Elephas maximus indicus: one gene and its partners. The protein of the gene in region 3 purifies or fractionates together with the protein of the main gene of each other region. This does not show direct contact. Links are inferred from orthologs where the notes say so. Each region holds a gene or a part of one and is shown on either strand. Other genes may lie near its edges. The genes, in order: GEMIN4, TNRC6C, AGO2 and DDX20.

The links.
Region 1: the proteins of AGO2 (region 3) and GEMIN4 purify together in Homo sapiens (affinity purification with western blotting; 4 studies listed by BioGRID and IntAct, with this or other methods). This does not show direct contact. The link is inferred for Elephas maximus indicus from reciprocal best matches to the Homo sapiens genes AGO2 and GEMIN4.
Region 2: the proteins of AGO2 (region 3) and TNRC6C purify together in Homo sapiens (co-immunoprecipitation; 6 studies listed by BioGRID and IntAct, with this or other methods). This does not show direct contact. The link is inferred for Elephas maximus indicus from reciprocal best matches to the Homo sapiens genes AGO2 and TNRC6C.
Region 4: the proteins of AGO2 (region 3) and DDX20 purify together in Homo sapiens (affinity purification with western blotting; 3 studies listed by BioGRID). This does not show direct contact. The link is inferred for Elephas maximus indicus from reciprocal best matches to the Homo sapiens genes AGO2 and DDX20.

What each region holds. Positions count from the first base shown.
Region 1 is NC_064837.1:20,925,931-20,933,377, reverse strand, and holds the start of GEMIN4 (gem-associated protein 4), read left to right. Parts: upstream 1-4,432; 5' UTR 4,433-4,485; coding exon 4,486-4,495; intron 4,496-6,379; coding exon 6,380-7,447. Other genes in the region: diazepam-binding inhibitor-like 5, read right to left, coding at 3,087-3,350. UniProt on the Homo sapiens protein: The SMN complex catalyzes the assembly of small nuclear ribonucleoproteins (snRNPs), the building blocks of the spliceosome, and thereby plays an important role in the splicing of cellular pre-mRNAs.
Region 2 is NC_064837.1:67,973,358-67,981,070, reverse strand, and holds the start of TNRC6C (trinucleotide repeat-containing gene 6C protein), read right to left. Parts: upstream 3,016-7,713; 5' UTR 1,636-3,015; coding exon 1,495-1,635; intron 724-1,494; coding exon 702-723; intron 1-701. UniProt on the Homo sapiens protein: Plays a role in RNA-mediated gene silencing by micro-RNAs (miRNAs). Required for miRNA-dependent translational repression of complementary mRNAs by argonaute family proteins.
Region 3 is NC_064833.1:4,034,723-4,041,681, reverse strand, and holds the start of AGO2 (protein argonaute-2), read right to left. Parts: upstream 3,004-6,959; 5' UTR 2,880-3,003; coding exon 2,858-2,879; intron 1-2,857.
Region 4 is NC_064821.1:169,130,658-169,138,088, forward strand, and holds the start of DDX20 (probable ATP-dependent RNA helicase DDX20), read right to left. Parts: upstream 3,007-7,431; 5' UTR 2,828-3,006; coding exon 2,527-2,827; intron 2,078-2,526; coding exon 1,983-2,077; intron 1-1,982.

The DNA of each region.
Region 1 (7,447 bases), on a different chromosome or scaffold from region 3:
GTCCACCTGGCACATTTTGGTCTTTTGATATCAGCCTCCTTTTATTTAGCTCGTTGCCCACCTTTTCTTCCCTTGTTGCAATCTTTAGTATTTTATTCTTCCTAAAACCATTTAGTGTACAGCTTGGGACTTTTACCAAAGAATCCAGAAGTTTGACTTCTGCACAGTTCGTCTGCTATTAAAGCAAAAGTTACAATTACTTTCCCACTTCTGGGGATGGTGTAATCAATTAGAAAAGGTTATAAGAAGATGGTTTTGCCCAGGCTACTGTTCTAAGCCGATGAAGTTGGAAAGCTCTTTTGTTTCTCTAGAGTTACATTTTCAGAGTAGTAATTTTGTTACTTTAATTGAGAGGTTTTGAAGTCCTAGTATATTAAGTGTAAGTTCAAGCGTGCCTTGAGTTGAAATCCAGAGATGTAGAACGGCAGTGGTGCAGGGGTTCTAGGGTGGCCTGAGAGAGTTAGCTGTCTGAAGGCCACGTCTGCCCGACAGCTTGGTAGAAGTGGCAAAGCCCATGGACATTCAGTGCGCCTTTCTGTGACACTTTTACCCATCTCTCCTGCCACACGTGCCATTGCGGTTTAACAGCCAGTTTTCAGGAGAGCTCCAGCCTGTCCACTGAAAGTGATGAGAGTTAATGGGAAGTTTCCCCATTTTGGTCTAAGATTTCTTACCGTTACCCTGTGAGAAATCAACAGGACATTTACTCTGACTTTAATGATCAGTTAAGGAAGTGACCTGACCTCAGATCTCTTTATTAGGTAATAGAGGCACGTGGTTCAAAAATCAAAACAATGTAAGAAGGTATACATTGAAAAGTCTTGCTCCTACCCATCCCCATTGACCCCATTTCCCCTGCCCCCATACCAAAAAACCAAACCGTTGCCATCGAGTCAGTTCCAACTCGTAATGACCCCCCGTAGGTAATCAAAATATATTCTAATTTCTCCACACAGAGAAGATTTAACATACTATGTATACTATACCTTGCCTTTTTTTTTTTTTTTTTTAAGTAATATATCCTAGAGATCTTGCCTCTCAGTATATAGAAAATTTCTTCTATGGAAATTGATGTCATATTTTACAAATGCAAGCTTCAGATGTTTCCAGTCTTGTTATTCAAACAAAGCTACAATGCTACAGTGAATAATTGTACACCTCTTTTCCTTACTGCTAATTGTGCTTTTCATATTAAAATTGTGTATTTTTCAAAATTGCTTTCTCACACACCCAATCTTAGAGGCCACTGCTTTTCCTTCTAGATTCAGATGGTCAACTCATTCATTTCTTCCATTCATCATCTGTGGAACTGAGACATCCTGGAATTATTTTCAATGCCTTCCACTTTGTGATAACTATCTAATTATCCCGAGATAGTAGTTAATCTGGTGGATATTGATAAACAAGATTTTGTTTTTAAAAGTGAAGAGGAGGGTACGTGAAGGACAGTTGCCTGAGGAGGATGGGTTAGGTTTTTGTTTTTAGGCATTCATTTTTATATAGTCATGGGATAAACCACAAGTGTTCTCTGCCCTCCTAATTATGGCAATTTTTTACTTTATCAGGTTTCATAATGATTTCCAGAATGGTACAGCTACAACAAGAGCTTCTAAATTGACACCATATTTTGTATTAAGAAGCTTATTATTATTTGATGTGACGCCTGTCCCTAACAGCATCAAATTGTATTCATAATTCCCCCAGAGAACAGCACTGCTGTTCTGCAGTGTGGCTCTTGCCCATTTACAGGCCATAAGAAGTAATTTTTTGGCCACTGTGGACTTCTGGGTGTACTTCATTCTTAGTTTACTTGTCTGTAGCAGCTTCCTGCAAATATATGGACAGAGATCTTGAAGATACCTGGTGACACTTGGTTTTCTTTGTTGCCTGAAGTCTTTATGGTGGTTGTTTCTATTGTGTAATGGTTCTCGTGAACTGGGGCTCACCTAATGTCATGATGTATAAAAACAGTTTTTGAGGGAAATCCCATGCCACAGCAGACCTGTTTATCCGAAATGTCTTTAATAATACCATTTAGTGCTCCATATGCCAGTCACTAGATACAGTGCTTTGTGCACTGATACCTCCATGATAATCACCAACAAGAGTAGGAAGTGAGGTCAAGCACTTTGGCCCTTGCACAGCAGTATGAGGGGTGTCTTGTGTCCTAAAACAAAGTCTACTTATACATGTTTTGTGTGCCGGTGAGTCGATTCCGACTCATAGCAGCCCTATAGGACAGAGTATAACTGCCCCATAGGGTTTCCAAGGCTGTAATAGTTATGGAAACAGACTGCCTCATCTTTATCCCAGGGAGAAACTGCCGATCGTTCCATTAGCAGCAGAGCAATTAACCACTGCACCACTAGGGTTCCTACTCATGCGTGCATAGCTGTCTTGTCCCACAAACATCCCCAAGCAGAAACCAGGGTTAGGGAGTAGTCCAAAGAAAGTTTAGGTTACTGGGTTTTAGATGAGGCTTCCAGAGGCTGGTGTTTTGAAACCATCTTCTCTAGTATTTCTCAACTGCTGTGTTGTGATGCATCAGTTACTTCACCACATTGTCACAAGGAGTTTGACTTCCCTCCAAACATTAACTTGATGGGATCTGTTCCAGTGGGGGCTTTGGGTAATGGGGACTTGACTCTAGGTTTTTGGAAGACAGCCCCATTCCCTTCCGTACTGTTGAGTTAGTAGTGGATCAACAACCCCTGGGAGAGAAGGAACCATCGAATTCCTGGAGAATGGCTTTACTGACCTCAAATTTTGTGCATTTTCGTTGTACTGCTCTTCCTCCCACCCCTCTATTCCTGCCAAATATCTGCATATGCTCTGGCAATAGTACGCAATTTTACCTAGAGAGATGTTTCTTATAAATTTTGGACACTTTCCCAGTCACTTGGAGTTTATCTCTTTCCCAACTGCAGACAATCGCTCTCATGCAGCTTAAGTCATTTATTGATGTCTCAGCTAAAATTGGTACCGCTTCAGGACATTTCAGCCATCGAGGTCTTTCCAGGTCTTAAGGAGTCCTTTCTCTACCAGAGGAACTGTGCTACTTTCTTCTGTCCGCCAATCTGACCTACCTAACCACCCTCCTTTTTCTTTAGCTCTTCCACTTTGGAAATATAGATCCTCATGGCATCCAACTTGGTCATCCCTTTGTTCTCGTTCCATGCCTCCCATTTGGCCTTGGCTTTCACATCTGTGGAGGGTGGGGCAGGGATGTTGCAGTCGCCCTGGGTGGCCTGTTTGTAGAAGCTGTATACCAAGAGTTTCTCTTGATCACTCACAGGACCCTTCAGCTCCTTGACAGCAGCACAAGCTAGCTCAAACTCCACTTGGCCCATTGGTGTAAGTAAGGCCGGGCCCCTCTGTCCTTTCTAGGTGGTATCTGGCGCTAGGAAATTCAGAGGGTAGAGAGAAACAACTTGAGGCTGATGATTAGCTCAAAGAAGAAGAGAGGGGAAAAGGGAGCCGGGGCGTGTGTGGGGAGAACACAGGATATTTCCATGTGTTTTCTCAGTGAAAAATCAAATGTGTGCCTTTATGAAGTACAGATTGCAAACTGGTGGCATGTTGGGTTGGATCCGCCCCACGTTTGTTTTTTTGTTTTGTTTTGGCTTGCACAGTCATTTTGCGGGGAGGACTACGCTTCCAATTTAGGCATCCGGACCTAAAATTGGAAACCCTGGTGGTGCAGTGGTTAAGAGCGAGGCTGCTGACCAAAAGGTCAGCAGTTCAAATCCACCAGGCCCTGCTTGGAAATCGTTATGGCGCAGTTCTCCTCTGCCCTATAGGGTCGCTATGAGTCGGAATCGACTCGACGGCAACGGGTTTGGTTTTGACGGGAGGCGGTGTGGGATGAGAAGCGCTGGGGGCCTATGTGTGTTTCTGAGACAGACGGGGAGACCTGCTCTGGGGCAGGAAGCCCCTCAGTGTGTTGTGTCTGTTTATGCGGGTTAGTGGGCAGCCTGCGGAGGGGCATTCCGTTTGGGTGAACTGTGTGTGGGGGTGAGTGTGGGGCCAGGGACGGGGCTAATGGGTAGGCCGACTGGTATTCAGGAAGCTGATCTGGGAATGGTACTGGGCGGATGGGTGGCTGAGTAGAGCCTTGAAAGGGAGCGCGGCCGGGGTTGGAGCCAAGGCCGGGGCGGGGACTAGAGAGCGGGAGGGCCGGGGCGGGGCACGCAGCCGCGGGAGGGAGGTGCAGGTACCTGCTGGTTGGCTGGCGGGAGGGCTCTGGCCGATAGGGGGCGCTGCGGGCTCGGCGCCGCGGGCTAGTTGGTAGGAGCTGCGCGTGCGCGCTGAGCGGCGGAGCGGGGCCGCGGTCCCGGAGGGAGCGAGTGTTGAGGCTGTGGGCGGGGACTGAGGCGCGGCCCATTGTACCTCCCCCTGCCCCGCCCATTGTGGCGTGGCGCCTGCGCCGCACTCGCCGCCTCTGAGGGGGAGGGGCGGCCCCACGCCGCCGGCAGCGCCGCCGCCATGGACCTAGGTGGGTGTCGCGGTCCCCGAGTCCCGGGCCAGCCCGGACCACGTCCCGCAACGGGGAACTAGAGCGGTTCTGCCCGGCCCTCCCACTCCCGCTGCGCACGCTCGGGAGGGCCCCGGCCAAAAAGCACCTCCCGGTCGGGCAGAGGTTTTGGCGGGCGGGGATGTCCTTGGAAACCCAGGATCCAGAGGCCGGGCTCTAGCCCCTGGCTGGCTGTTACTTGACCGCCTCTTGCCCTCTCCCGGCCCCTTTCCGGGTGAAAAGCCAGGCGGATGTGGAGTTAGGTTTTCTGAAAGTGGGAAGGGTTAGTGCACGTGGTTTGGAAAAGGCTGGCTCGGAGGCCCCGGGGAACTCAGGGGTGCCTTGAACTGGCACATTTATTGAACTAAGTTCTTGGGCAAGTTTCTTACCCTCATCAGGTTTCCTCATCGATGAAAATGGGGGCGATGATAATGTATCTACTTCATAGAGCTTTTGAGAGTTTTGAGTTCACGTGTATACAGACAGGGTCGGGTACAGCGCCTACCGCACAGCAAGCCCGTCGAATTTGTGGCGGTTGTTGGAGTGGTTGGAAACCCTGGTGGCTTAGTGGTTACGTTCTACGGCTGCCAACCAAAAGGTTGGTAGTTCAGATCCACCAGGTTCTTCTTGGAAACTCTATAGGGCAGTTCTACTCTCCTATAGCGTCGCTAGGAGTCAGAATCGACTCGATGGTAATAGGTTTGGTTTTGGGGTTTGGTGGGAATGATTGCAGCTGAGATGGTGCCTTTGAACCTGCGGGCATCTTGATTCAGAGTCCTCTTAGGCATGGTTGGAAAAACGGAGGGAGAAGTGTATATAAATTGCTCCCCCGTTCTGAAGCCTCCCACCTCGCTGGCTATGCTGTTAAGGGGGTGATACCCTAGTCAGCTATAGAGAAATGTCCTGGGCCCTGTCCCCTCAGCCCTCCAGTGGTAGAATGGCAGCGCTTGAAGGGTTTGGAGCCCTGCAGCTGTGGTGGTTTCTGTCCGAGTCCCACCACTTTGTAGTTGTGACACTCTGAGCATATTAAGTGTTCCTGGGCCTCAGTGTTCCCGTGTCTAAAACAGGAATCATGGTCCCCAGAAAGTTGTTTTGAAGATTAAAAGATCTATAGGGGCACTATGAGTCGGAATTGACTCGATGTCAGTGGTTGTTTTTTTTTTTTTTTTGGTATGTGTGCTTGGCACAGTGCCTGACATAGAGTAAGCAGTTAATAAACGGTGCGTACCCCCAAGTACCAGCTAGTCATAAAGCACTTGGAAGTTACCCAGCTATTAACTGCTTGGGGGCTTATTACTTCAAGTAGCACATGTACATACTGTTGTCTCTGGAAGGCAGGAGTGTTGGGAGCCAGACATCAGCTCTAAGTAAATTCAAAGAGCAATGAAATTAAATTTACAGAATCTTTGGGACCCTGGCGGAACATCCTGAGCCTTGGTTTCAGGGCTCCCCCCTGGTCAGACAGCTACCAAAGTCACATTTCAGTGCTGACTTTCTTCTTGAGCCTTAGACCTGCGTTTCCTGTTGCTGGAGGACACCTCTATCTTAACGTTTTACCTCAGACTTCAAATAACCAAAACCAAACTTGTCTTCTCCTCTGTTACCTGTTTCTAATGGTGCTCCTTGGCCTCCCAGTTCCCAGGCTAGAGAACCTGTGAGTCATTTTTTATTCCTCAGCTAAGTCTCACTCCAGCTCTGCAGTGGCTTTTGTAACTATCCCTCCTCTCCCCTTCTCACTGATCTCATCTAAAACCTTGTCCTCTCTAACCCTGATAGTGACAGCCAGCCTAAGTGCTGTCTCTCCCTCTAACTTCTGCTTACTTATTTAAAAATTTTCACCACTTTCTTTGGCTTCTTTCCACGCAGGCCCCTTGAACATCTGTGAAGAAATGACTATTCTGCATGGGGGCTTCTTGCTGGCCGAGCAGCTTTTCCGCCCCAAAGCACTGGCAGAATTGACCAAGTCTGACTGGGAACATGTTGGGCAGCCCATTGTGGAGGCCCTGAAAGAGATCTCGGCCACAGCGTGCTCCCAGCCCTTTGCCTGGAAGAAGAAAGCTCTGATCATTATCTGGGCCAAGGTTCTTCAGCCCTACCCTGCCACCCCTTCTGACACTGAAACCCGGTGGCAGGAGGATGTGTTTTTCTCAGTAGGCAACATGCTCCCCACTATCAATCACACAATCCTTTTTGAGCTGCTCAAGTCCCTGGAAGCTTCTGGACTCTTTATCCAGCTCCTGATGGCCCTGCCCACCACCATCTGCCGCGTAGAGCTAGAGCGCTTTTTGGAACACATGACTGTTAACACTTCTTCAAAGGATGTGGCCTTCTTCCTAGACATCTGGTGGGAAATGATGAAGCACAAGGGCAATCAGCAGGACCCTCTGCTCTCGCAGTTTAGGACAATGGCCCATAAGTATTTGTCTTCTTCAGATGACTTCTGCCATCCTCCAAAGAGGTTCAAGTCAGACCCAGATGTGTGTCCCACCATGCCCCTGTTGGCCATGCTGCTCAACGGGCTGAAGCAAATCCAGAATAAAATCCTGTGTCCTGGAATGAAGTGCTGCGCATTGGCCAACTTGGCCGACATGCTGACGGTGTTTGCCCTTGTGGAGGAGGACCCCCAGGAAGTGTCTGCCACCGTGTATCTGGACAAACTGGCAACCGTCATTTCCGTGTGGAATTCAGACACCCAGAAGCCATACCACCAACAGGCGCTGACAGAGAAGGTAAAGGAGGCAGAGCGGGATGTCAGCCTGAACTCGCTGGCCAGGCTCCCAACTGAGACGCTGTTTGTTGGGTTTGAGTACATGCTCAGCCTGCTGCGGGAGTGGGGAGAAGAGCTGCAGGCCATGCTCAACAGCAGCCAGGGGACAAGCTACGATAGCTACCGGCTGTGTGACAGTCTGACTTCCTTCAGCCAGAACTTGAAGC
Region 2 (7,713 bases), on a different chromosome or scaffold from region 3:
CGGAGGCAGGGTGTCTCAGTTTAAGTATGAGATGCCTGAGGCTTAAAGACGGGAAGTGGTTTGCGCAAAGTTAACCAGAGCTGGTTTATGACTCCGGAGTGTGTGCTCCTCACCACTAGAAAGCACCTAAACATGTCAAGTCTGCAATGAAGATGCTCCCAGTGTCGCTCCCACTGTGCTCATTCTGAATCGCCAGGAAATCACAGTAAGAACTGTGTGCTTCCGCCAATACCCATAAGACAGCAGCAAACTCTGGACTTGGAGAATTTAAGAAAAGAGAAAGTTTTACATATCAATAGACAAAGGAGGAACAGAGAAAGAACATGTCCCTTTTTACCATAAGGAAAAGCTGGCAATGAGGAACCGGAGACTTTAAAGACATCCAGTGCCCTTTGGTCGGATCGCCTGTATCAGCGTAATCCTTGTTTAGCAGAAATCAAACCGAAGGAAAACTGTAACGCATTGCTAATAAAACTTACATTAACATCCTTTAGGCAGTTTTTTAGAGTAGGCAAATGCCAATGAAATGCAGATGTAAAACCAGTGATAAATGAAGAATTTCACAACGAATAATAAAAAGTCAGCACAAAATCTAAGTTAGATTCTGTTTTTTAACCATCAATTAAAAACTTAGTCATCTTCATCATAAACAGTTTGATCTGTCCTAAAATGTAGCCCCCCACAAATATAAATAAACTTACCTTTGGTTTTTTGATCAGCAGCCTGGGGGGAAAAAAAAAAAAATCAGAAACTCTTTAGGAATAATAACCTGTAGGATGGACCCATCTATGAAAGTATGTAAGTGGACTTCTAATACTAGAATTTTAAAATCACGATTTTGTCCAGTTAATTTTATCATTTATTATTGGGGAAAAACATACAATTGCCTACATGCTATTGATTACATGCCAACAACAATCTAAAGGCAAAAAAAAACCCACCCTGGAAAGCTCCTTTGAGCTCTATTGTGATACGGCCTGGGAGGTATGCAGCTTCAACTATAAAACGTATGAAACTAGGCAAGAGCAAAAACAAATGGCCTTACTTTGTATTTTAAATACCATGAAATCCAAGCATGTCTACAAAGGTTTACAGTGGGACTTTTAATTTTTAGGATCTACTAATAGAATTTTGTAGAAGAACGCTTGCTGAAGTTGCAGCAGTTATTCTGAGCTTTTCTGACAACATCAGCCAGACAGCCCTTTCCCCCCCAACCCCGGGCAGCTCGCTTCAAGCGGGACAGTGTGGACATTCGCCACTTCCATCAACCTTTACACGCAGCAGCTCCGGTACCTCTCGGCCCTGAAGGAAGGCAATTTGTGGCGGTCGTCCTACGTTTATCTCACTAGCACATTAGCTATTCTCCACTAATTACAGATTTAGTATCTTGATTTAAAAAGCAGAATGAAACTTAGTAATGCAATGGCTATGATCATAGAGATGAGACACAATGATTCTCAAAACAAGGAAGATCAGGAGTAACTCTAGCCAAACCTTTTTCTGAGCACCTTCCTTCTTTTTCTTTTCTTCCTGCTTTTTCTTTTTCTTTTCTTCCATCAAACGTTCCTCTTCTTGTGTTTTTTGTTCTTTCTCCCTGTCGAATATAAAGAAAAGTGGTATTAGTACGATGTCCATTTTAAATCGAAAATTGAGAGAAGCATTAGCAGCAGGAAGTTTTAAGGCAGCTGAGTCGCATATGGTGTAAGGAAGGACCCTTGAAGGACAGGTGTTAAGACACAGACATTCACCCCCATCACAGGCACCCTTTGAGAATAACAGCAAGTTGCCCTGACTTCTTCAGTGGCTCATTCATTCAGCCCATATTTGTTGAGCACCAACCTACTATCAGGCATTGTGTTCGGAGAGGAAGGTACAGAATAGAATGGAGTAAGATGCAGTTCCCACAGTTCAGCCCCAGAATATTATTTTTCAAAGTGTTGTCTCAGGGACCACAATCATCAGAATCATCTGGGTACCTGTTTAAAATGTAGAGTCCCAGCGGAGGGAGGGGTGGAGCGCAGGGCATCTTTAGGGCAGTGAGGCTACTCTGCATGATACTGTAATGGTGGACACACAACATCATGCATTTGTTAAAACACACAGGGCTATATAACACACAGAGTGAAGCATGATGTAAACCAAGGACTTTAGTTAATAGTAACATATCAATATGGTTCACCAACTGCAACAAACATAGCACATGGATGAAAGACGTTAGTAACAGGAGAGTGTGTGCAGTGGGAAGGTCATACATGGAACTGTGTACTTTCTCCACAATTTTTCTGTAAACCTAAAACTGCTTTAAGTACACAATATGGTAAATTTAAAGCCCACGAAATTGCTTACGCTTTCCCGCCCACGCCCATGTCTACGTGAGAAAGAGTAGTTCAGATATGTGCTCTTAATAAAGCTTTATCTAATCTCCCCCTAGCTAGCAGTAATCTCTTCTACCTCTAACCCCCAGTGTGCAATTTCTGTTATATCATTAATAATTTTTTTAAATCAACATTTAATCGCATTTTTATTTTATAAAGTAATAAGTGCTCATGGGGGGGGAAAGCCATAAACAGTACAAAAAGATACATAATGAAACGTAAGACTGCTGTTCCAACACCCCCACGGCCCTCTGCTTAGAGGTTAACAAAATGTTAGCAGTTTCTTGGATATCTTTAGGGTATCTCTACATACGACTATACATGTACTCATCCTTTTTTTTTTTAAATAACAAATGCAAACAGACTATTCACTCTTCTGTGTTACTCTTTTTTCACTTAATTATATACCCCACGTATACAGGGAAGCTATGTTCCTTCCCAGCTCTAAATAACGTATGTGGATGGCTAGGCTCTCGGCTCACCAATTTGAGACATTAACAATTAGTGTAATGACGGATGTGGATATGGCTCTTAGAGCACCCCCATTTTACCATCCATTACTACTTTTAGTTAAATCAATAAACAGCATTTACTTACAAAGAATATCTAAATATTTGCTGCAGAGTTAGAATATATACTGGGATTACACTTTACCTTTTGTGCAGCTGTTTTTTTCTTTTCTTTTTTTTTTTTTTTGAGTTCCCAATTGTGTTTCTTTTCCTCTTACAGTATTTTCCTTACAAAAATCCTGTTTTTGTATGCTTCCCTCCAAAATTTAAAACATGAATCCCCCCCCCCCCCCAAATCTACCTTCCAGGGCCTTCAGTCCTGCTCTGTCTGGGCTGGGAGTGCTCTGCCAGTTTTCTTGTATCATAGCTTAATGATTCTTTAATATAAACTTCTGTCTGTACCACTGTGTGATTTCTGTTTTCTGACTGGACCCAGACTGATAGAGCAGAAAGGAGGAATTAACAGACTAAGCAGAAGGAACAAAACGTACAAATGCCTCAGCAAAACATCATCATCTATTAACACTGATTTGACTTTATTAATTCAGCCATCCTGTGACTTCCCTTGTCTTACACCTTCCTAAATTACTCCCTCGATGTGCTGGAAAACATCGTCAAGTATCTTCTCAAGAAAGAACGTGTGAGAGGTTGATTTTTGGAGACCATATATGTTTGAAAACAGTTTTAGGCTGCCTTTTTGTTTGAATGGTGGCTTGGCTAAGCAGAGAATTCCACTGTTCTAGCATGTCTGATTTTTTTGATTCTCAATCCGTTTTAGGTGATATATTTTTTCTATGGAAGCTTATAGCATCTCTTTATCCCCTGGGTTCTGAAATTTCATGATGATGTACCTTGGTGTCTCCCCCCCCACCCCTCATTATTTGTGCTTTGCATTTGGTTGACTCTTTCAACATAAAAATATAATTTCAGCTATTTTCTTGAAAATGTTTTCTGTTTTCTAAATAACAACATACTGAGCCTCCTGGTTTGATTCTCTATAACTTTTCTATTTTCTACTCCATGCCTTTCTGTTATTCTATTTTCTGTGTGCTTGGCTCTACTTGGTCTTCTAATCTTTGCACTGTGCTTCTTAATGACGTTCTTGCTTTCTAATTGCTCCTTCTCCACATTTTGTTTTCGTATTATGGATGCGAAATCATCTCTGTTCTATCTGAGGATATTAGGGTTTTTCTGAAGCTTTTTTGTTTCCTACGTTACCTGTTTCTTCCGTGGACTCTTCTTCTCTTAGACTCTCTTTGATGTGGGAAGTTTTCCGCAACTGTTTGCTAATCATTGGTTGTCTCTGTTCAGGCTTAAGTGTTGATGTTGTTGTTAGGTGCTGTTGAGTCAGTTCTAATTCATACTGACCCTATGTACAGAAGAACAAAACACTGCCCGATCCTGAACCATCCCCGCAATCCTTGCTATGCTTGAACCTATTGTTGTAGCCACCATGTCAATTTATCTTGTAAAGATCTTCCTCTTTTTTGCTGACCCTCTCTATTTATCAAGCATGTTATCCTTCCCCAGGGACTGGTCCCTCCTGATAACATGTCCAATGTATGTGAGACGAAGTCTCGCCATCCTCATTTCCAAGGAGCACTCTGGCTGTATGTATTTCTTCCAAGAGACTTGTTTGTTCTTTTGGCAGTCCGTGGTATGTTCAATATTCTTCAGCAACACATAATTCAAAGGCATCAATTCTTCTTCGGTCTTCCTTATTCATTGTTCAGCTTTCGCATGCATATATGATGACCGAAACTATCATGGCTTGGGTCAGGTGCACCTTAGTCCTCAAAGTGACATCTTGCTTGACTTTAAAGAGGTCTTCTGAAGCAGATTTACCCCCAGCTTCCTTTAGTCCTCCTGTTGGTAACTGTTCCCTCATTTCACCTGGAGTCCCACTCCCACACTCACTCTCAATCTGTGGACGTTCAGGGGCAGTGGCTCAGGGATGACACTTTTGCTGGGTCTGGACTTAACAGAACCTCAGGGCTGAAAGGTGCTGCAGCATCTCTCAAACCCACAGGCCCTGGAAATGAGGCCAACACCAAGGAAGTGAAGCTGAGAAACGGAAAAAAACACGAAGTCTTGGCGACAGAGGTCCTCCAGGTCTGCAGCCTCATACCTTTAGGTTGCTCCCCAGTAATGCTGACAGCAGGAGAGTCACGCCAGGCCAATCAAGACACTCCTTGGGATTTGCAAACTGAATGGAGTGGCCAACAGCTAGATCAGATTCATCTCACTGACCATACCCTTAAGAACCTGTCCACTGGGGCCAGTTACCTAGATTCTCCAGGCCACAGTGGGCCCCTGCCCTTTCTTAGCTCGGCCCTTCTGTTTTTCCTTCAGTTCTGTCAGTTACCTCACATCTTCCTAAAAGTTACATGGCAGTTCTTTCTGCTGCTTATAACCAAAGAATCCTGACACACAAATGGTTTCTAACAAATTTATTTATTTAAACCTATTGTTGTTAGTTGCTGTCCAATCAGCTCTTACTTATGTCAACCTTATGAATAACGGAACTAAATGTTGCCTGGTCTTGCATCACCTTCATGATCGTTGGTATATTTTAGTCCATTTTTACAGCTATTGTGTCAATCCATCTCATTGAGGGTTTCCCTCATTTTTGTTAGCCCTCTACTTTACCACAAACATGACGTCCTTTTTCAGCAACTGGTCTTTCCTGATGACGTGTCCAAAGTAGTCAAGTTGAAATCTCGTCACCCTTGCTTCTAAGGAGCATTCTGGTTGTATTTCTTCTAAGATTTGTTTGTTCTTCTGGTAGTTTACAGTATATTCAACATTCTTTGCCAACAGCGCAGTTCAAAGGCATCAATTCTTGTTTTCGTTATGCAACTTTTGCACGTAAATGAGGTGACTGAAAAGACCATGGCTTGGGTCAGACGCATCTTAGTCATCAAAGTGACATTTTTGCTTTTTAAAACTTTTGCAGCAGATTTGCCCAATGCAGTATGTCCATTTGGTTTCTGGACTGATGCGTCCATGGATATTGATTGCTGATCCAAGTAGAATGAAACCACTGACAACTTCAATTTCTTCTCCGTTTATTATGATGTTGTATATCAGTCCAATTTGAGGATTTTTGTTTTTTTCATGTACAGGTGTAATCCATACTGAAGGCTGTAATCTTTGACCTTTATCAGTTAAGTACTTAACGTCATCTTCATTTTCAGCAAGCAAGTTTGTGTCATCTGCATATCGCAGGCTGGTAATGAGTCTTATTCCAAACCTGATGCTTTGTTCTTCGTATAGCCCAGTTTCTTGGATTATTTTGTCAACATGCAGCTTGAGTAAGGTGAAAGGATACAACCCGTTGTATACCTTTTCCAATTCTGAATGATTCAGTATCCCCTTTCTGTCCGAACAACTTCCTCCCTCTCCATGGACAGGTTCCGCATGCGCACAAGGAAGTGATCTGAAATTCCCACTCTTAGCAAATTGAAACCTAAACTTAACTTAGTAGTTTGAAAACCTGACTGAATTCAGCATTATTTAATTACAATTTGTCTCAAAACTAATTAGGTTCAGTAAACATTTTCACCACTATAGAAACTGTAGTATTACTTACTACATTAACATGTAAATTACAAGTATAAGAGTTTTAAGTGCCGTTTTGTGAAAAACCTTTTCTATATTTCATTTGAGTTTAGATTAGCCTTGAATTAAGTCACAAAGTAATGCTATTACCTTTTATTGGAGCTCCATTTTCTTAGTCAACTTACTTAAGGACACTTGAACGTACTTTAAATATATTTAACATAATAGAAGAAAATCCCTAACTAGTCTGAAAGACAGTAATCTTTGCTGTCAGGTCTTGGTGTGCTATGGAGCAGTTAATAAGAATGACCAGGATGTATGCGCGTTTTAAAAAATATCATTGTTTGCTAGAAATTTAAAAGCTTGTAGTGTGTAGCCAATGATCAGCGTAATGCCTTTCCCAAAAGTGCCTACCTCCAACTACAAAGGAGTTTGGAGTTGGGGAGCTGTGCTGGTTATTATTTATTGCCTCTCGAGCTCCAACCTCCTCTTTTTGTTTGCTCTGTGAAAATGCATCTGGGACCTTTACGTTTTCTTCCTCTGCCAATCGGCATGATGTTAAGCATTTTCAGTAGAGGGTGCTAGAGAGACACAGTTGGAAAAAAAAGTTTTGCATCCAGGTTCCAGTGCGCGTGCTTGCCAGGCTCCCGCCGCGGGTTTGACTTCCCCAGTGCCCAGCTCCTGCAACAGTGGCGACTTCTCCAGCACCTGTGGCCAGCAGCCTCCCCTGTCAACCTCTGCTGAGGGGATTGTAGCAGAGTGCCTCCAACAAGACCCTTTCCTGTGAGCGGCTTTCACCTGAGAAGGTGGATTTCTGGCAAGTTCTGCCAGCACGGCATTGATGAGTTCTCTGCGTCCAGTGAGCATAGCGTGACCTCTCCAGTGAGGTCTGGAGCTCGGCCTTGAGGGCTCCAACTCAGCCCTGGAGGCAGTGGCTACTCCTTATAGCTGCTATTCCTCTATCCTTTAGGGTTCTCTTTACTTCTTGCCAGCCAATCCCTCGTTGCTCTGAGTCTGTAAATGTTCCCTGTTCACATTACTGCATGGTGTCCTCCTGACTGAACCTGCACTGACAGGAAACCTCAAATTAGAGCCTTTTCACCCTGCCAATCAGCCAGAGACTTTTAAATACTGGAGCTGGGTATACCAATAAATAAATAAATAAAATTCACAGATTTGCCCAAACGATGAATAAATTACATCAAAATAAATGGCAAGTTAAATTTAATTAACAACTCACAGACCTGAAATACCAAACTAGACAGACG
Region 3 (6,959 bases):
GGGCTGCGTCATTGACAATATAAACCGTGAGCTCCAGAAGCACGTTAATTAAAACTTCCGCCGCTGAAACTCGAAGTTAACAAGACAGAAATTAAAAAAAAGAAAAAGAAAAGCCAGTACTACTTAAAACCGTGTAAGTTTTAGGAGTCAAAGCTTCCATAATCTTTTTTTTTTTTACACACTTATTTAAATTCTTCCTCCAAGTTTATAAATAGAACTAAGGAAGCCCTCGCACAGCCAAGTACCCCTGTACTCCCGTACCTCCCAGCTTGCTGCTTCTCTGTGGGCAGAAAGAAGGAAATTTGCTTCTGCGACAACCATGCAACATTACTGGGAGACCTCAACAATGGAAAAGGAAAAGAAGTGGGGTGCATGGCAAGTTAAATTACACTAGAAACCACAGTGTAAATCAGCTATTCTCAAAGGCATAATCTTATTCAGACAACTCTCATTACGTACTCGACTACTAGCTGAAGGTTGGTGGTTCCACCCAAAGGCCCCCCCAAAGAAAGGTCGGGCGATCTGCTTCTGAAAGAGTCACAGCCTTGAAAAATCCTGTGGAGCAGTTCTACTCTGCACACAAGGGGTCGCCAACAGTGGAAATCCACGAGATAGCAACTACCAGTGACAACATTTGAGAGTTACTTTGTAGTAAACTGGTGAGTGTAACTCCCAGGGGTATCTGAGCACAGTAACACCATTAGAAACAATAGGTTTACAGTACGCTGCTGCTCAGACACAGTGAAAGAGCTTTAAGTGGCTAAAAAAAAAGAATCAAACTAATTTGTTCATCTATGAAGGTTCAGAAAGTCACTGAAGGACCTACCCTAAGCCTTAACTCTTTGAAAGAGTTCAAAAAACTAAAAAATGGTAACACGCCTAACTTTAAGAGCCCAGATACTGATTCACATACGTAACAGTTTTTTATTTGTAACAGGCACAATAGAGGCCTGTTGCACACTCTATATCTGAAATTAATTTACGTAGCAAAACTATCTGTAATTATTTTACAATTCAGGCTGAATGTCCTTTCATTACTCTAAATTAAGAAATACAACACTGAAGAGTCTCACTGACGAGACTCAGCTCCAAAAATTCCTTTTATACGAAATTAACAGCCCTCGCATACAGAATAAAATGGAACTGCATCACAGCCGTATCATTACAAAACAACCTAAAATTTGGGCACACTTCCCATCCTGCCCTTAGCTAAGAATTATCCTACAGACCCATTTATCCTGAGCAGGTCTTATCTGTGAGCTGTGTGTCCCTCTCCCCATCACCACCAAGGCCTCCACCGGAGCAGGACTCTCCAGAAAGCCGGCAGAGGCCAGGAAGGAGCCTGGAGACCCACAGGGCTGAAGCGTTTTAAGAAATCGATGTGCACGGGGAATTACCCCAGGCCAGGCCAGTGCACGCAGTGAGGGGAGGGGTGTTGCTTCCTGAGGCTCTTGTTTGAATTATACACGCATATAATTTAACGGGTCTAGATTTAACAGGTATTTCTCACCCAGGGGTCAAGGTCAGAAAGGATTGAAAGCCACTTCTCTGAGGAGGGTGTCAAGAGAATCGGCTTGTGTGTCTGACAGATTGGTCTAATGCTCACTGGCTGTCTGACCTTGGGGGAGTTCTTAACCTCTCTGAGCCTCTGTTGTCCACCTTTAAAATGAAGAACCACCACCAACTTCAGCAAGCTGTCCAGTGGATTAAGGAACACACTCTACAGAAAAGCCTGACCTTCCTTCAAGGTTCTTCACTTTTTGCCGGCCTCCAACTTGTAAACTCAAAGTCTGAAAAAACATACCAAGTAGGTCGCTAACACTTACTGGGTCCCTTTAGACGGATCAGCTCTCAGAGCCTGACTCAAGGCGGAGAGGACCATCCGGCCCATTTCACGGGTCGGGGTCTGTCCACTCAGGGCCCCAAGAAGCCAGGATCTGACCCCAGGGCTTGTGGCAACGGAGCTCAGGCTCTGCCCGCAGGGCTGGGGCACCTCCCAGGTGCCGGGTTCAAACCATTTTGCAATCAAATTGCTGGGAGCCCTAAAGAGTTGGAAAGTTGGGTCGGCTCAGCCTTGGGAAAGCTTTCTAACCAACTGTGACATCAGAAATAAGACACCCGGAATCCGCCAGGCACCGAGCTCACTGCGGGGAGCGATCAGAGCCGGCCCCAGTGGCTCGGGGGCCTGAGGCGGGCGGGCAGGGAGGCGCGGAGGGCCGGGAAGGAGAACGCACGGAGCCCCGGGCGCGGTGGCCAGGCCGGAGCTCGGCGGACAAAGGCGCAGCAATGCCCGGGCCAAGTGGCAGGGCCGCGGGGAAGCGGGGCGGCCACGTGCCCGGCGGGAGACGGCGACAGCGTTTCAACGCTGGACCATTTTCTCCGCCAGCAAGTTAGCCGCCCTCCCTCTCGGCATTAAAGAAGGAAAATGTGCGCCTGCTTCAAGTTTTTAGAACTTTTCCGACGCAGGCGAGGCTGTCTCGGAGGCAGGGAAGCCGACGACATCAGCTCGTCTCCCACCTCGTTCCAGGAACCGGGGAGGGCGCCCCGCGCCACGGGAGGCGCCGCGCGGCTCCGGGCCGCTCCCACCCGCACGGAGCCCCGGGCCGGCGCCACCGCGCGGGCGAGGACCCCGGCCCGCCGCCCCCGGCCCCGCCCCGGCCCCCGGCCCCGGTCCCCGACCCCGGTCCCCGGCCCCGGTCCCCGACCCCGGTCCCCGGCCCCGGTCCCCGGTCCCCGGTCCCCGGCCCCTGCCGTACGCCCAGGCCGCTGGGCTCGGGCCTCCACGCGGCGCCCGGCCGGACCCGGGGCGCGGGGAGCGGGTGGCCTCCCGCCTCGCGCCGCCAACCGCCGCACTCACCGGGGCCGGCTGCCGAGTACATGGTGGCGCCGCTGAAGGCTCTGCGCGAGGGGCGGCCGCGCGCACCACCCGACGCCGAGAGCTCGAGGAGCTGCCGGCCGCTCGATCTGCCCCGGCGCGGCCGCCTCGCCGAACAGGTTTACCCGCCGCGGCGGGCGGGGCGGGGAGGGCGCGGGGAGGGGCGCCGGCCGGCGGGGGAGGCGCGCGCGCCCGCGGGGGAGGCCGGCCCTGCGCGCCACCGGGTCCGCGCCGGGGGCTGCGGGGCGGGGAGCCCGGGGGCGGGCGAGGGGCGGCGAGTGGGGACCAGGGGCTGGGGCGCCCGGGAGGGACGTGGACGGAGACTCGGGGCTGGAGGGGAGTCGGAGGGGACTGGGCGGAGACTCGGGGCTGGAGGGGAGTCGGGGGGGACTGGGCGGAGACTCGGGGCTGGAGGGGAGTCCGGGGGGGACTGGGCGGAGACTCGGGGCTGGAGGGGAGTCGGGGGGGACTGGGCGGAGACTCGGGGCTTGAGGGGAGTCCGGGGGGGACTGGGCGGAGACTCGGGGCTGGGGTTCCGGGGGGACCTAGGCGGGGACCCGGGGCTGGGAGGGGACCTGGGCGGGGATTGGAGCCGAGTGGGCGGGGACGCGGGGGTTGGAGGGTTCCGGGGGCGACTTGGGCGGGGACCGGCGGCGGGGGGCGACGGTCCGGTGCAGCGCCCGGGAGGAGCGACGCCGTCCCCCGGCCCGGAGGCGCCCCTGAGTCTCCCGCCCCCACCCTCGGGCGGCTTCGCGGCTCCTCTGGGGCCCGGTGCACTTGGGCACGATGTGGCGGGGGTGCGGGAGTCCGCCTCCTGGCCGCGCCTGCCGCATCGCAGCCTGGCTTTTTTAAATTAATAACGAAACATGAATGTCGGCGCTTGAACTTGAACGCGCTCCCTGCCCATTCGCGCACAACCACACCGCCACCTCCCGGCGCGACTTAGACGCAGCCCAGCCGGCTCTGCTCCGGGGCTGGGGCCCACTGCCCCCAGCCCCCTTGGGCTCTGTTGGGCCCGTCTTTCAAGCGGTGCCCTTACCAGCCCCCACCATGTCACTCTTTAATGTGCCTTTCTGTGCTTTCCTGCCTCTGCCTGGGATGTTCCCCCATCCAAATCCTCCTCACCGCCAAGTCCCTCTGGGCCCCACCTCTCCCTTGGAGCCTTTCCTAGGGGTGCTAGGTAGAGGTTACCTCCTTCCTGCCCCAGTAGGCGGGCTATTAAAGTCAGAAGGTGACACACAACCTGAGTTACTCATTTTCTAACACTTTCACCTGCTCCTTTCTCCAGGCATCCTATGAATACGTATTATTGTCATGTTGTCGTGTGCAAGGCCCAGTGTGTTGGGGGAGGTGCAGGGCCCTTGGCAGGTTTATGATGAGATCTCTGCTGTCTCAGAAGCCATTGCCGTTGAGTCGATCCTGACTCATAGGGGCCCTATAGGACAGAGAAGAACTGCCCCATAGAGTTTCCAGTGAGTGCCTGGTGGATTCAAACTGCAGACCTTTTTGTTAGCAGCCATAGCACTTAATCACTATGACACCAGGGCTCCCTAATGTCATCCCTAAATAAGTGAAGGAAAACTGTAATTTCCTACAGAGAGAAACTTATAAGGAAGACATCTGTCTTCACCAAGTTCCCGATGGAGTGGGGCTCCTCCTCAGTCTCTGAGTCCTGTCGCTGCGGTCTCCCATATGCCCAGCCACCCGTCTCCAACTCTGCCCACCACCTCCACCTGAGAAGGCTGAGCCACCTGACCAACCACTGAAATGACCCTTCCCTCTCCTTCCGCTCTGAGCCGCAGCTGGAGGCATGTTGTGCGAACACAAAGCTGATCTTGGTCTACTTTGCGTACAGCCCTTCCCTGGGTTCCTGTCTCCATCCACACAGGGCCCAACATCCTTACTCTGGTCTACAGTAGAGCCCCACCTGTTTGCCAGAGTCTTCTCACATCAGACTCCAGGGCTGTTCAGATCCACGTCTTTGCTTTCTCAAGACTGTTATCGTGAGAACGTGAATTTGGAGAAAATGTGTGGCAGTATCCGGTAAAAGCTAAACACAAACCCACATCTCGGCTCCCGCGTATATGTTGTTGGTGTTGTGAGCTGCCGTGGGGTCAGACACCCCCCCCCCATTGGTGGCGACATGCACACCTCAGCAAAACACTGCCCTGTCCTGCCCATCCGCATGATGGGTTGTGGCTCCCATGGTCGAGATCATATTATCGATGGCTGATTTTCAGAAGTAAATCACCAGGCATTTCTTCCTAGTCCAAGTAGTCTGGAAGCTTCGCTGAAGCCTGTTCAGCTTCACAGCAACACACAAGCCTCTACTGACAGACGGGTGGTGGCGACACATGAGGTACACTGGCCGGGAATCGAACCCAGGTCTCCTGCATAGAAGGTGAGGATCCTGCCTCTGAACCACCACTGGCCCCACACATTGTTTAGGGATGCAAAGCTAATAATAGAAATACAGAGAAAAACAAGAAGGTGATTATCATAAGAGTCAGAATGGGGTTTACTGCTGGGGGGGTGTGACCACAGAGAGGCCCATGGGGACTTTTGGGGTCCAAGGCGTGTTCCTTCTGGCCGTGGATGGGTGGATACTGGCGTTTGCCTTGCAACAATCCCTTAAGCTTTATGTTTTAAAAACTTCCCTGTACCTCTGTTATACTTCATAACAAAGAAGTCTTGAAATAAACGTGAATGTTATCACTCCTATTTATGAACCACAAAACACACACACACACACAGAAAACCCACTGCGGTGGAATCAATTCCGACTCCTAGGGATCCTATAGGACGGGGTACAGCTGCCCTCTAGGGATCCTATAGGACGGGGTACAGCTGCCCCCTAGGGATCCTATAGGACGGGGTACAGCTGCCCCCTAGGGATCCTATAGGACGGGGTACAGCTGCCCCCTAGGGATCCTACAGGACGGGGTACAGCTGCCCCCTAGGGTTTCCAAGGACGGGGTACAGCTGCCCCCTAGGGATCCTACAGGACGGGGTACAGCTGCCCCCTAGGGATCCTACAGGACGGGGTACAGCTGGCCCCTAGGGATCCTACAGGACGGGGTACAGCTGGCCCCTAGGGATCCTATAGGACGGGGTACAGCTGCCCCCTAGGGTTTCCAAGGCTGTAACCTTTAAGGAATCAGATCGCCACGTCGTCCTCCAGGGGAGCTGCGGATGGGTTTGAACTGCCAACCTTTTAGTGAACAGCTGAGCACTTAACCACTGTGCCATCAGGGCTCCTTTTATAAACCACACCCCCTTATAATTCTCCTCAACCCCACAGGCCTCTCTCCATGGTCCCTCTCAGACACCCACAAAACTCGTTTCTGCCTGGAATCCCCGGATCACTCAGGGGCCTGACTGCCCCGCGGTTTGCAGCTGTCACCTCTAGCTCCAGAATGCCCAGAACTAGGATCCCCCCCTGCCGTCTGGACTCCATTGCTCCCCTCTTTTTCCTGGAGCCCGGCGTTGGGTAACTTTGTTGCAAACCTCTTTTCTAGAAGGTGTCTGCTTCATTGCGTCGCTCCTTTCTGAGATCCCTCATCCTTGGCCCCCTGCTGGCCAAGGGGCGCTGGTGCCGCTTTCGCGTCCCCGCAGCACGCACCCGTCCCCGCCCCCTCCGGAGCCCTCGGGGCCTAGGGGATCCTGCGCTCCCCGCCCCAAAGCGCGGGGACACGGGGTTCTCTCCGCGTGGTCCTGGCCCTCCTTTGCCTGCCCTCTTCCGAGGTAAAACCATGCTTGACTTCACCCTGCTGCGCCTGTGCTGAGGAATCCCAGGCCCCTTGCCACAGCCCTCGCCCCCCAAATTCGCTTCAGGCCCAGGACATCAAAGCTCACCCTCTCCCTCCTCCAGCTGCTGTTTCTCCTTTGCTCGCCAGCGGGTTAATACAGTCAGTGTCCACCAAAACAAACCAAACCCACTGCTCGTGTGGATCCAGACTCATCGAGTAGAACTTCCCTGTGGGGTTTCCTAGGCTGTAATCTTTACAGAAGTTGGCTGCCACATCTTTCTCCTGCAGAGCGGCTGGTGAGTTCAAACTGCCAACCTTTGGGTTAGCAACCTAGC
Region 4 (7,431 bases), on a different chromosome or scaffold from region 3:
TAAAAAAAAACATAAAATATACCTTTAACAAGTCAGGGAATAAATACATATGACTGGCACATTAATTATATGACAAACTACTACATAACCATTTAAAATGATGATTGAGTTTTTACTGGCAAAGGAAAACATTCCATTCATCCATTTACATATTCATTCAGCAAATATTAAATGAGAACCCACTAAGTGCTAGATGACATACTGATGCAAAAAAGCCAAACCCGTTGCCGTCAAGTCAATTCCTACTTATGGTAACCTCACGTACGTGTTCTAGAGTAGAAGTGCTTCATAAGGTTTTCTTGGCTGTAATCGTTATGGAAGCAGATCACCAGGCCTCTGGTCTGCGGCACCACTAGGTGGGTTTGAACCATCAACCTTTAGATTAGCAGCCAGGCAAAAACTGTTTGTACCATCCAACATACTAATTGCTAGGAGATCACAGTTAACAGTATAAAGCCCTTGACCTCATGATACTTTCATTCTAGTATGATAAGATGGTATATAATAAACATATATAAATAATGGCAGGTAATAAAAAGTGCTACGAAGAAAAATCCAACAGCAAAAGGGATGGAGTCATTTTCATGGAGTAGTCAAGGAAGCCCCCTCTCTGAAGCTGACATTTGAGCAGAGATGTGAATATACAGCAGAGTAGAGCTGGCTGTGTGACACCTGAGCAAGAGTTTTCAGGAACAGGGCAGCAAATGCAAAGGCCTAAAGATGAGAGTGTTCTTGGTGTGTTTGTAAAATGGCAAGGAGGCCATGTGGCTGGACAGAATTGGGGGAAATGGAGCGGACGACAGAGATCTAGCTCCAGGGGGCTAGATCATGAAAGGTTTTGTGAGCCACGGTGAAAACTCTGCCATATAACTACTGAAAAAGGAGAAGGTTAAATTACATGTTCTCAATTATGAGAAGGAAAAAAATGCTTACAAATAAAAAGGACTAGAAGAAAATATGCCAAAACTGTTAACAGCAGTTTCTCTCTGGGTAGGTGAGATTATACATTTTGTTTCCTGGTATTTCTGCTAAATTTTCCCAACTTTCCATAAATGCCCATGTATAGCTTTGATGCAAAAAATTATGTTATATAATTTTGATAATACAAAGACCTTAAATTTTAAAAAAGAATCTTATTTATGGAAATTATGCACAGTTTTGACACTTAACCTGCTGCCAGAGTGCTCACTTTCAGCAGCCAAAATGGCAAATACACCTTAGTCCACAAGTAGAAAAGCCCAGGTCATTGGGTAGTAGAAGGATTTCCTATGAGTAGCATCAACCAGGATTCAGTAGGTAAAAGGTAAGACTCAAAAAGCTTCCCGGATAATGTATATATGAGTATCCCTGGTTAAAAACAACCGTATTAAAGGATCATCATCCTCAGATATACATAACTGAAAATATGAAATAAAGTCTGTCATAACTGCTATGCCACAAACTAAGGATGCCATCTGCTGCACCTTTGTATCCCCAGTGCCTGACATACTGTTTATACATACTATGGGCTCAACAAATCTTTGTTGAAGAAATGACCGCACCTCCATGCCAAGCCTGAATTGTCTGTTAATTTGAGTAAAGCGGTCTTAGAACTATTCTAAGAAAATCCAGAAGATGGGAGATCAAGATGATAGATTCACAGATCTTTAAGAACCACCTGGCGTTACCACCAATTATAGCCAGAGCATCACATCACCATGAATCAAATCAAACGCTAAGTCTCGCCTTGCTGCAATCTAGTCAGCAAGTAAAAGAACAATGAATCCTTGTCTGTAGTCTTATGTCACGTCAAAACCGACACTCATGGTTGGCTTACTCTGTTTATGATGTGGTAATAATATTCCAAACTTCAAAGACCAATAAGGTATCCTTGGTAACCATCCACACCAGCACCACTCAGCAGCCTTAACGTCTCCTTTACTTTCATAATTTACATACGGTTTAACTCAATCATTCATCTGAGTCCTCGGAGCTAAACTCACCTGGGTACTTAAGTTTTCAAGAACAAGAGAGTCCAAAGCAATGGTGGAGAATACACAGGTTTTCCCAGTGCCTGACTTAGCTTGAACAATTAAATCTGAGAAGGAAAAATCAACAAATTGTCACCAGCAAGTACTAACTGAAGGAGCTTAGATACCAACATGAAATGGGAGAACTGGAAAGGGTCTCCACAGATAACCTAGCTGGGACCTGCCATTTTCAGTTTACCATCAAAAATGCACGAGGCCATATTCAGAGCCATCCCAGGTGTGTCTGAACCTCTACCACTGTTTAGCCTCTCAAGCTCAGAATCACGAGCCAGCGCTGGAAAGGGCTCTAGCTATCTTCAAATGCAAAATCTCCCCTTTTGTTTTACAAAAGGGGAAACTGAGGCTCGAAGGCGTGCGGCACCTAGCCCAAGGCCGAGCCCTGCCCAGGCGGCCGACCTGGTGCTCCTTCCCGGTCCTCGCCGCGGGCCCAGCTGCTGCCGCCCCTCGGGCCCCCCTCCTCGGCCCCGTCCGGCCTCCCCTGGGCCCCCGCCCTCACCGAGACCGCAGCGCCCCAGCGGGATGGCCTTGAGCTGCACCGGGGAGGGCCGCTCGAAGCCGGCCGCCCGCAGGCCCTCCAGCACCGGCCGCGACAGCAGCAACGACTCGAAATCCGCCGGCTCAGCCAGCAGCACGTCCCCTGTGCGGGTCCGCGGGCCGCCGATGTCGTGAGCCGTCCGCAGGCTGCGCGCCGGCCCGGGGGCGGGCTCCGGAGCCGGGACAGGCGCGGTCACACGCTCCTCCGGTAAAGCCGTCTCCACGGGAGCCGAGGCCGCAGGGGCCTCAAGCGCCGCCGCCATGGTACACGCGCCACCAAATCTCGCGGTACTTGAGAAGAGGCGGGGAGCATGAGAGCGAGGAAAGAGAAAACGTTATTGGCAGTCTTCCAGTGACGACAGTAACACGCCCGGCCTTGGACAGAAGAGGAGGGATGGAAGCCGGAGGCTGGGAAAGACTCAGGAACGACAACAGAAAAATGTGGCCTGAGGAAGGCGGGAAGTGAGAGGAGAGAGAAGATGAGGCTACCGGTGTGTCGCTGCCTTCGGCCTGCAGAGGGCGCCACGTGCTCACGGTGGGGGCGCCGTCCCTCCTCCCGGCTTCTTCTGGGTGGGTCCGCCCAGTCCCGACCGAGTGCAGCCACCCGCACAGCCCTGTCTTTGTGATGCGTCCGGTGCGTCACACCTCGCCGCCTCTGAGCCTCCGCTGGCTGTTCGGTCAGCCTGAATCCCGCTCCGCCGTCATCTTTTCCCGAGCCCTCCCAACTCGCTGTTTTCTCTGTGTTCGCAGAGAGCGCTCGAGGTTTAACAAGACTTCGGGATTTTTTTTTTTTTTATGGTGTATGTCTGCCTGCAGAATGGCTTTGTTCATCCTTGGGTCCCCAGCTCCTGACACGGTACCTGGCACGTGGTGAACTCTAATAAAGGAAATTGAATTGGAACCAGGAGCTGGAATTGAATATTGAATTGATGACCCTGACAATTGCCAAACCTCAAACCTCTCTCTAAACTCGTCTTATATTTTCATCCATCTGCCTCATCAACATTTCTACTTTAGATGTCTAGTACCTGGTTGCCGTGGAGTCAATTCTAGGCATCTCAAATTTAACATGTTTTCTTTGTATGTCTTGCTCCTCCGTCATGAGTGGGCAACTAGCGGTCTTTATGGCTTTCTTTAATTTAGGTCTCTGCTCAAATACCACCTTTTCAAAGAAGTCCCCCACCCCTGCCTTTTCCGTCACTATATTCCCTTGTTCTGCTCTAATTTTTTATAGGACGTATTATATATAATTGTATTATTGTTGTTGTTAGGTGGCGTCAAGTTGGTTCTGACTCATAGTGACCCTATGCACAACAAAATGAAACACTGCCCTGTCCTGAGCCATCCTTACAGTCGTTCTTATGCTTGAGTTCATTGTTGAACCCACTGTGTCAATCCACCTCTTTGAGGGTCTTCCTCTCTTCTGCTGATCCTGTACTCTGCCAAGCATGATGTCCTTCTCCAGGGACTGATCCCTCCTGACAACATGTCCGAAGTGTGTAAGACACAGTCTCGCCATCCTTGCTTCTAAGGAGCATTCTGGCTGTACTTCTTTTGAGACAGATTTATTCATTCTTTTGGCAGTCCATGGTATATTCAATGTTCTTCGCCAACACCACAATTCAAAGGCATCAATTCTTCTTCGGTCTTCCTTACTCATTGTCCAGCTTTCACATGCATATAATGTGATTGAAAATACCATGGCTTGGGTCAGGCACACCTTTGTTTTCAGGGTGACATCTTTGCTCTTCAACACTTTAAAGAGGTCCTTTGCACCAGATTTACCCAATGCAATGCGTCTTTTGATTCTTGACTGCTGCTTCCATGGCTGTTGATTGTGGATCCAAGTAAAATGAAATCCTTGACAAGTTCAATCTTTTCTCTGTCTATCATGATGTTGCTCATTGGTCCAGTTGTGAGGATTTTTGTTTTCTTTATGTTGAGGTGCAATCCATACTGAAGGCTGTGGTCCTTGATCTTCATTAGTAAGTGCTTCAAGTCCTCTTCACTTTGAGCAAGCAAGGTTGTGTCATCTGCATAAGGCAGGTTGTTAATGAGTCTTCCTCCAATCCCGATGCCCTGTTCTTCTTCATATACTCCAACTTCTGGTATTATTTGCTCAGCATACAGATTAAATAGGTATGGTGGAAGAATATAACCCTGACGCACACCTTGCCTGACTTTAAACCAATCCGTATCCCCTTGTTCTGTCTAAACAACTGCCTCTTGATCTATGTAAAGGTTCCTCACGAGCACAATTAAGCGTTCTGGAATTCCCATTCTTCCCAATGTTGTCCACAGTTTGTTATGACCCACACAGTCAATGCCTTTACATAGTCAATAAAACACAGGTAAACATCCTTCTGGTATTCTCTGCTTTCAGCCAGGATCCATCTGACATCAGCAATGATATCCCTGGTTCCACATCCTCTTCCGAAACCGGCCTAAACTTCTGGCAGTTCCCCGTCGATATACTGCCGCAGACGTTTTTGAATGACCTTCAGCAAAATTTTACTTGCATGTGATATTAATGATGTTGTTCTATAATTTCCACATTCAGTTGGATCACCTTTCTCGGGAATAGGCATGAATATGGATCTCTTCCAGTCAGTTGGCCAGGAAGCTGTCTTCCATATTTCTTGGCATAGACGACTGAGCACCTTCAGCACTGCATCCATTTGTTGAAACATCTCAACTGATATTCCATCAATTCCTGGAGCCTTGTTTTTCGCCAATGCCTTCAGAGCAGCTTGGACTTCTTCCTTCAGTACCATCGGTTCCTGATCATATGCCACCTCTTGAAATGGTTGAACATCGACTAATTCTTTTTGGTATAATGACTCGGTATTCCTTCCATCTTCTTTTGATGCTTCCTGCATCATTTAATATTTTCCCCATGGAATCCTTCACTATTGCAACTTGAGGCTTGAATTTTTTCTTCAGTTCTTTCAGCTTGAGAAACACCAAGCGTGTTCTTACCTTTTGGTTTTCCATCTCCAGCTCTTTGCACACGTCATTATAATACTTTATTTTGTCTTCTCAAGATGCCCTTTGAAATCTTCAGTTCTTTCACTTCATCCATTCTTCCTTTTGCTTTAGCTGCTTGACACTCAAGAACAAGTTTCAGAGTCTCCTTTGACATCCATCTCAGTCTCTTCTTTCTTTCCTGTCTTTTCAATGTATTTATATATTTATGTATTTTCTGTCTCCCCTACTTCATGAGGACAGGAAGCTTTTTTGTCTGGTTCTCTGGTCTATCCCTAGTGGGAAAAAGAGAATCCGACACATAGTAAGTACTCAATAAATATTTATTGAGAGAATGAGTGCCTATAACAAAGACTTAGTCACAATTCCAAACTTATTTTCTGAAAACCTATCTTACAATTTCGAACTTAAAGCTATTCTGCGTCCAACACCAAACTTTTCCTTTGTCCTTAGATCATAATCCTGGTCATTATCTCCCACTTACACACACAGACAAACACACACACACACACACACACATACACAGTGGTTCCAGATTCCAAACAATGTGCCTCTTCGGCATGGTAATCCCACTGGAAAGGAGTCCTGCTTAGAAATTTACAAAACCTTGAGAAAATGTCAACTGTCCATAGGAAAGAAGGAGAACTGATGATGAGGGGTGCATTAAACCCCCAGGCATCCTATTAGGACCCCCACCTTTTTCAGCCACCTAATCCTCCAAGTCACACCTTCTACTATCCCTCCCCTCTTTGTAACAATTCACTGACTGGAGGTAATTATGGCTCCAAATATTTCTTCCATTCCTCTTCTCCAGTCCCCGTAGCATCTGCCGTGTTTTAGGCCCCTTCACCATCCTGAACTATTGCAATAACCTCCTGAATGGTCTCCTGCCAGAATTTCTTCTCTATCTTGGCCATCCACCCGCATCTGCTGGAATGAGCTTTCTTAAATAGATTATCCTTGGTTGCTTTAAACCAGCTTCAGGCCTTGCTTCTTTTGACACCCTTATTTATTCCCCACCCCAGGCTCCCACCTCACACTGTAAATAATTCTTGTCCAGCTCTTACCATATTGTATTTACTTGTTTACATGCCTGTCCCTCCTACTAAACTATGATCTTCTCAATGACAGGAATGTTGTCACCCTAGGCTCTCTCCAGCCCAGTATGAGGCACCTGGTAAACCTAATAAATATTGCATGGCTGACACTTTCTTGCTCAAAAAGTCTCTACCGGGTCCCCATGTGCACAGCAGCAGTTCTACAGAACTTGGACCAATCACTGTCAAAGAACCTGGCTCTCATCCCGAGAGAAACAAAAATACTACTTTTCCAGAAAAGGGCATTCATAGTTTTATAGGCATTCTCTTATTGCATTTGTTATTTATGGTGTTTTACTGACACGAATATTGCAGTAATGTTATTGGGAGTACATTTTATTGCTATGGCTAAAAACACAAATCAATAAAATTTTTCCCTCAATGGTTAAAAAGAATAACAATATTGTTGACCACAATTTCAGGGCTGTAAAGATAAAACAAAGAGAGATCACTTAATAACTAGGAAAGGTGTAAGAGAAAAACACATGGAAACTGAACACTAGTGTGGACTATGTCTGCATCTCAGCACCCACAAGATAAAGTCCAATCAGACCTCAGCCTCTTTTCGGGCCAGGAAGCCCACCTACCTCCTCCAAACAGACCAAACTACATCAATTCCTTAATGCTCATGGCTTGTCACAGCTCAGAACCTTGGTGCTGCTCCGTCTACCTGGAAAGCCTCGCCCACTTTATATATCCAGGAGCTCCTACTCCCCTTCAAGTCAGCGGAGGCCAGTGGAAGGAGAGATCCCTGTGAACTGAAGAAGTAAGAGTGAGACTTGAGC